Linked DNA regions of Xenopus tropicalis. The protein of the gene in region 2 purifies or fractionates together with the protein of the main gene of each other region. This does not show direct contact. Links are inferred from orthologs where the notes say so. Each region holds a gene or a part of one and is shown on either strand. Other genes may lie near its edges.

Evidence for each region. Proteins that work in one complex are often made in the same cells at the same time.
Region 1: the proteins of eif2ak3 (region 2) and tbl2 purify together in Homo sapiens (affinity purification with western blotting; 3 studies listed by BioGRID). This does not show direct contact. The link is inferred for Xenopus tropicalis from reciprocal best matches to the Homo sapiens genes EIF2AK3 and TBL2.

Annotation. Positions count from the first base shown.
Region 1 is NC_030678.2:30,761,333-30,765,085, forward strand, and holds the start of tbl2 (transducin beta-like protein 2), read left to right. Parts: upstream 1-1,159; 5' UTR 1,160-1,255; coding exon 1,256-1,367; intron 1,368-3,096; coding exon 3,097-3,224; intron 3,225-3,753. Other genes in the region: bcl7b (B-cell CLL/lymphoma 7 protein family member B), read right to left, coding at 355-446.
Region 2 is NC_030677.2:18,083,860-18,087,512, forward strand, and holds part of eif2ak3 (eukaryotic translation initiation factor 2-alpha kinase 3), read left to right. Parts: intron 1-551; coding exon 552-786; intron 787-1,690; coding exon 1,691-1,853; intron 1,854-1,969; coding exon 1,970-2,110; intron 2,111-2,363; coding exon 2,364-2,486; intron 2,487-3,653. UniProt on the Homo sapiens protein: Metabolic-stress sensing protein kinase that phosphorylates the alpha subunit of eukaryotic translation initiation factor 2 (EIF2S1/eIF-2-alpha) in response to various stress, such as unfolded protein response (UPR).

The sequences.
Region 1 (3,753 bases), on a different chromosome or scaffold from region 2:
AAACTGCATCTGCGCTATAATAAACTTCGGGCGCTTAATATGTTCCCATAGCAACAGTTGGAAAGGGACCCTGTGAAAGGCGGAGCGTACTTCAGCCAATTACCGCATAGCCTCTCTGTATCTCATCCTCCCCACCCTTTGGAGCTGTCACTGTCTCTCATTCCAAAGTTATCTCCTGACTGCTGCGCGGCGATTGGCCCATTACAACGTCCATCACGCGCTCCACCAATCAGCGTTTTTATCACTGTAAGTATCAAGCCGGCATCAGAGATCTGTCGTTTCTCTTACAAGCTAGAAGTCGCGCCTAATAAGTGCAACGCAGCCCTGTTTATCGTTCTCTGAGCTCGTCCTCACCATCTGCGGACGTTCTCGATGGCTGCCATCACTTTTTTGATGTCATCTTTAGCCCGGCTGCGGGTCTCGGCTCTCACTGAGCGGCCCGACATTTTCTTACGGACACCTCAGCGTGACGGCACCAAGGGGCGTGGCCTTATCGTACTCGGATAGTGACGACACTGATCCCTGAACCCCCGCTGTCAGGGAAAGGAAGGAGAGCTAATGTCTGGGGGCGGGGCAAGTGGCAAGCTGAAAATCTGCCATATAATGAAAGGGAAAATAATGTTCATGCAGTCACTGCCAACATGTGATAGGGATAGCTTGGGGCATAATGTCTGCCTATTGCTTTATTTTATAAACGTCTATTTGCCCATCACTAAAAGGTGGAGCTATTAAAAGTTATTCAATTTCCAGCAGCATGGTTCAGTTGTGGGTACGGGAGAGGCCAATTGATCAGATTACTTTTCCCACTTAAATCAGTAATGAACGTCTCTTTAGTTGTAAGAAAGAAACAGTAACTGAGGGGTAACTCTCTATATGCCAGGCGGTATGAAACAGGGCAAGTGGAATTGGTTGCATAGTACTGATGTAGATTCTACATTGCGGGTTTAGTGGGAGCTGGAGTTGCCACCTTTCCTAAAGACATGAAAGGGGCAGGGCGGTAACACAATGGAGGCAGGGATTGGGCAGGTAGCTGATTAGGCTGATTGGGGCAGGCCTTTCAGGTCAGAGGTTATATCCTTTATTTGGCTAGCGGCACTGTAGCGTTTGCCTGCCCACACTCGGACACGCTAGCGCTATGTGCACTACTGAGAGGGGAGGGGCTTGCAAGGTTGAGGGACAAGCGCGCTCCCGCGGCTTGTGATGTGGCGCCGTGCGCGTCCCTGTGACGTGTGACGTGGCCCAGCGCTTGTTGGACATGGAGGCGGCCGTGGCAGTGGTTGTGGTGTCGGTGCTGTTGGGAGGAATTATCCTGCTTCTGGCCTTACTGGGAAAGCGCCCACAGAGCGACAGCGAACAGGACCTGAGCGGTGAGAGGCCGTAACCCGCACCGGGCTGGCTTTAATTGGGGCTTCTGTGAATAGTAGCTTTATGCCGCTGCTCTGGGATGAATGGCTCTCATCAGTGTGGGCAGAGTTGGCTTAGGGTGCAGCAGGGGGGGTATTCTGTTGCATCACATTGGCCTCATAGGGGGAATATACACAACTCCCTGCAGCCCCAGCATCACATTGGCCTCATAGGGGGAATATACACAACTCCCTGCAGCCCCAGCATCACATTGGCCTCATAGGGGGGATATACACAACTCCCTGCAGCCCCAGCATCACATTGGCCTCATAGGGGGAATATACACAACTCCCTGCAGCCCCAGCATCACATTGGCCTCATAGGGGGGATATACACAACTCCCTGCAGCCCCAGCATCACATTGGCCTCATAGGGGGAATATACATAACTCCCTGCAGCCCCAGCATCACATTGGCCTCATAGGGGGGATATACACAACTCCCTGCAGCCCCAGCATCACATTGGCCTCATAGGGGGGATATACACAACTCCCTGCAGCCCCAGCATCACATTGGCCTCATAGGGGGGATATACACAACTCCCTGCAGCCCCAGCTGTAATTCCCCCAGCATCCCACTGACTGCAGGCTGGATTGGATGGATCTCATTTTTATATAACCCCCCCCCCCCAGCCTTCATTTGGGGTCCCAGATTTTCTAGGGGCTCCCTCTTAACTCAGCCCATCCCTGTATAGAAACAAGCACAGTGTATATAAACGTATTCATAAAGTGCCAGCATTCCGTACCTCTGTATTTAATGGGCTCGTTGGCTTGTGGAATGGATCCTTATTCATATTTCTTTGTATGGAGTTTTATATAGTCCTTTTCCTCTGCCTCTTCCTCACTTTAACTTCCCTGCAAGACACTGCAGTCACTTTATATAGAACAAATTAACCCGTTAGACCCAGTACGTTTCTGGGGTTGAGGGGCCCGAAGCCCTGTAGGAGCACAGAGAGGCACAAATCACACAGCACCCTAAGAACGTGCCCCTAACTGCAGCCTGTGGGGCTTTATATTTCTAAGCGTTAGGCCTCATGTGCAGTGCCAACTTCTGTGCCGGTGTATTGCAACATTACCAGTTCCTCTATGGCTTCATGTCAGCGCTACTGATTGTGTAGCATTTGTTTCCAGTAGGTGTGAATATAGTGCACTGGCTGAAACTGAAGGAATTGCATTATATTTGCATGAAAATCAGTCATTAACAGGTGGTTTATAGTGTGCCAACATCTTCCTCAGTGATGTATAAATTGAACATATAGATTATATGCAAAAATACAGCAGATACAAGAGGTACAGTTGGGCCTAATCAATAGAGCTGACAATCTGAAAAGCCTTCCCATAACAGGAAGCTGCCAAGAAAACTTAAGTATAATACTAAAACATTATGAGAATATCCTGCAGCCTGGTGCCTACGTTATACCATGTTAAACCTAGTACAGAAGCAGGTAAGAACACCTGCGTGCGTGCGTGCGTGCGTGCGTGTGTGTGTGCGTACACAGGCGCAGTGTGATGATATAATACAGTGCTTTAGTTGCCCTTTGAAAAGTCATATGCTGTTAATGGTTTATGACAATGTTTGCAATCCAGTACTGTTATCTCTCACTTTTACAATTATGTTTATTATCAGATGTTTGGATGTCATTGCCCAGTGTAAGGCATTTTCATTTAACTTGGTTGCTTTGTGTGTTTTTCAGCCAAAAAAGCAAATGGAGAAGCTGCACCAGAGAAACTACCGGCAAAGAAGCCAAAACTGCAGAAGCTGCGCAAAGAAAAGCCCCAGCAACACAATTTTACACACCGGCTCCTTGCAGCCTCTCTCAAGGTATCCTGTTAACTTGCAGTACAGGAAATACAAAGGGCAATAACAGCTTAACCCTGAAATAATACAATCAACACTTTTCACGCTTTAAAGTTTTAAGACCTATTGGCAGCTTCAGTTGTCCCAGGAATTGAATTATTTATGTGCCTGCCAATACAAAAACTATTGCATTGTCCCCTCCAGGGACAGAACCGCGGAACACATTGTTTTGTCATTTTGGGCATGTTTATACTTGGATACAAGTTTTGTTACATAAGATTTCTTAAATGGAAATATTAATGTATAAGACAGCATTGTGTCTCACAGATATGTTGTATGTTATATAATAAATAACAAGGAATAATTACAATCTACAATTAGGGGCAGTAGAGCAGTGAGAGACAATGAGCAGCACTTTGCGAGAGTATACATCATTCATGAGTTTCTGCTTCAAGGGAGCTTACAGCCTTAGGGTCCCTATCACATTCACACACTCTGGGGTAAATTTTATCTAGAACCAAATACCTGTGTCTTTTTTGGTATTTTGTAGGAA
Region 2 (3,653 bases):
ACCTCTTGTATCAGTTACTGGTTGCTTTTGTATGTAATTCTGTATGTCCAATGTATAGACCCACTTATTGTACAGCGCTGTGGACAGGGTCAGACTGGGCCGCCGGGGAAAAAACCTGGTGGGCCCCGGCAGCCCAGACCCGATGTCTGTTGCCGCTCCCTGGCCCCAGGTGTCCTCCCCTGATGCGTTTCGCTTATGTGCGCTCAGGGGAGGACATCGGGAGGGGGCCCCCTGCAGGGGGTTAGGGGGGTGTGGCGGGGGGACGGAATGCATCGGGGTACACAGCTGGCTGGGGGCACCTAGGGGGGTGCGGTGCACCCACCAGTCCGACCCAGGTTGTGGAATATATTGCCACTTTATAAATACATAGTAAAAGTAATATTATATAGTGCTACTTATGTATGCTGCACTGAACAGCAGGATAATACATTAATAAAACACAAAGTACAGTTACATTAAAGATTAAGAGATAAGTGTTGGATTGCAAGCTCTACGGGGCCTCTTGCCTCTAAGTATAAATAACCCTATTTGTTTTGTTTATCTCTGTTAAGGTGGAACTTCAGCGTTGGACATTTTGAGCTGAGATATATCCCGGACATTGAGCCTGGAGTGGGGTTTATTGAAGGACAGCTTGAGCCAAGTTATAGCACAGACGAGTCTAGGATTATTTCTGATGGAGATGACCAAGAAGTTGGAACCAATGATTTGGCCATCAAGGTTTCTGTAGCTGACTGGAAGGTTATGGCTTTCAACAGAAAGCTGGGCCATTTAGAGTGGGAACACCAGGTATAAAAACTTTTTTTTTTTTTTGTCTATGAATTTGCTCACCTTAAAACTTTCAACAGAGATATTTTCAGTTTCGCCTGGTCGGACACAGTAATGCCTGATGTGCGACTGGGACCATCTCTAATTAAACTCCACAAATCCAATGAAAATGCAGTCTGTCTGTCCTTTTTGCCCAAGTACAAAGCTGGAATCTGTGCTACCTGCTCCTTGGCTTCTCTATTCACACATTTAAATGTATGGGCAAAGCTTGGGTCTGTAGAGAGCCGGTTTAAGACTTTTTACACTAAATTATTTTCTATGAGCAGTGTAAGAAAGGGAGAATTAGCTTTTGGCCACTCTGGGAACCCATGGTCCTTTTAGCAGGCCTTTTGAAACCTGTACATTTGGAGATTTATGCCAATTTCAAGCACTCCATTGTAATAGGAAAGAGCATATGCTTTAGATAAGATAAAAATAAAATGACCCCATGTATAAAAAGAGGTCAGATGTTCAGTAAGGGCTCTGGCACGCGGGGAGATTAGTCGCCCGCGACAAATCTCCCTGTTCGCGGGCGACTAATCTCCCCGAAATGCCATCCCACCGGCGAAAATGTAATGCGGGCAACTAATCTCCCCGTGTGCCAGAGCCCTAATGGCTGCAGAATGAAACCCTTATCGTATAAAAGTCTATTTCTACTTTGAATGTCCTTTTTGTGGACAAACAGATCTTCTAAACGTAAACAAACCATTTTCACTACTTGCTGTTACTGGCCCTTTCATAGAGGGCTGTAACGGATGCTACATCTCTATGCAGCTTGTAGATCTTTATTGTAGGTATTTTTTCCCCTTGCAGTGTACATTTCATCTCGGACTCTGTTTACACTTGTCTTTTCTCAATTCTGATAAATCTGATCCATCCTTTCCAGTTCTGCACTCCAATCGCCTCAGCCTGGCTCGTTCGAAATGGAAAGGTTGTTCCTATTAGCCTTTTCGACGATACAAGCTATACGTCAGATGATGAAATCTTTGAGGATGAAGAAGATCTTGTAGAGGCAGCAAGAGGTGCCACGGAGTCCAGCTTCTACTTAGGTAGGTACTTGGCATTGCATCATACTCTTAAATCCTTAAAGGAACAGTACCCAGTGCATTTACAATTATTTCTTCATAACTTTTTTTTCTTTTTTAATTATTTTTATTCTGTTTAGGGATGTTCCGTGGACAGCTTTATCTCCAGTCATCTGTTAGAATTTCTGAGAAGTTTCCTGTAAATCCAACTGCATTGGATACTAGGACTAAGGACAATGCCATTATATCTTTACCCAGGATTAAGTGGAAACCTTTAATTCGTAAGTGCCACTTCCTTTCCGTACTGGAATGGGTCTCCCCACCCTTCCTATTTCATTGCATTTATTGAGATGCCAGTATAGAATTCTGCTTTGAGAAGTTGGGAAGAAGGAAGTGATACTGATAACCTATATATAATCTATAGACTTTATAATATTGGGGATTACATATTTGGCATTTATAAAAATATTGCTCCTGTTTCTGAAAAGGCCGATACTTTCTATAACTTCACTGATGCCCCATTATTCATTTCAGACTCTCCCTCTCGTACCCCTGTGCTGGTTGGCTCAGACGAATTTGATAAGTGCCTGAGCAATGATAAATTTTCTCATGAAGAATACAGCAATGGCGCACTTTCCGTTCTGCAATATCCATATGGTAAGCTTAAAAGTTTTTTATTTTCCCTTTAGAGAAATGTCTTTCATATTGAGAGTCTTATTTAGGTGTATGCTGCATTGTTAGGTTGTAATAACACAACAGTTGCTAGGCAGAGTACACATTGGCAACCAAAGAGTCAGCAGCGCTCTTAGGGCAGCTGTATTATTAAGGTGTCTTGTACAACTGTACATCACTAGTCCACTTTTGGGCAAACAAATGTCCATGGGAAACTGGTAAAGTCCTTTTGCAGGTAGTTCTGTTGTCAGTCAGCACCAGTATAAGTTAATGCTATATATCTATTTAGTATTGCATTGGTTTAGCCAGATATATTTGCAGCTGATTTTCTTGTATTTCCCCTATAAATACAAGCTTGTGCCAGTGAAATTTTGTTTTTCTGTCTTCAGATAAATATGCCTTTATGGTATGCTACATGTTGGAAATTTTTTAAATCTGTTGGGCCTGTATAGGTTCTGCGCATACACATCTTGTGGGAATGGACTCATTCTGTTCTCCCTTTGGTGTGGCTAACAGTTTGAGGTAACTGTCATTCCTGGGCAAATGAAGAATGTTATTAGGGGGTGCCTCCCTCTTCTTTAGTGGCATGCCATGTCATTTTGTGACATTAATAATATCTTTTGCTTGTGTTTTGAATCTCTTGGTTGCGTGGCATGACCCTTACCTCCCCTCTTGCATGACTACTAATCTGTTTCCTAATGGTTCCCCCATATATGAATGATGCCCTTTCAGAAAGTAGCACTGGCATCTGTCTCATTTGAACACACTCTTGCCCATAACTGATGCAGCACTTTTTAAACCGGACAATTTTATTGAAATCGTGTATTCAAACATAGTTACTTAGCTCTTATTAGTAACATAGCAAGGTAATCTCTTAATTGAAAGCGTTTCAGTGAACTCAGCTAATGAAATGCCACTCTAGGTTGGGCATTCCCTAATCCAGAAATCCCCAATGTTTTTTACTCCTGAGCCACACTCAGATGTAAAAAGTGTTGATGAGCCACACAAGCATGAGAATAGTTCTTTGGAGAAGCCAAGTAAGGGCTGTAATTGGCTATTTGGTAGCCCCATGTGACTGCTAGCCTGCAGGGGGCTCTGCTTGGGTAAAACTTTGTATCTGGGCTTCCAAAACTTGCCCCCAATACCAACCTT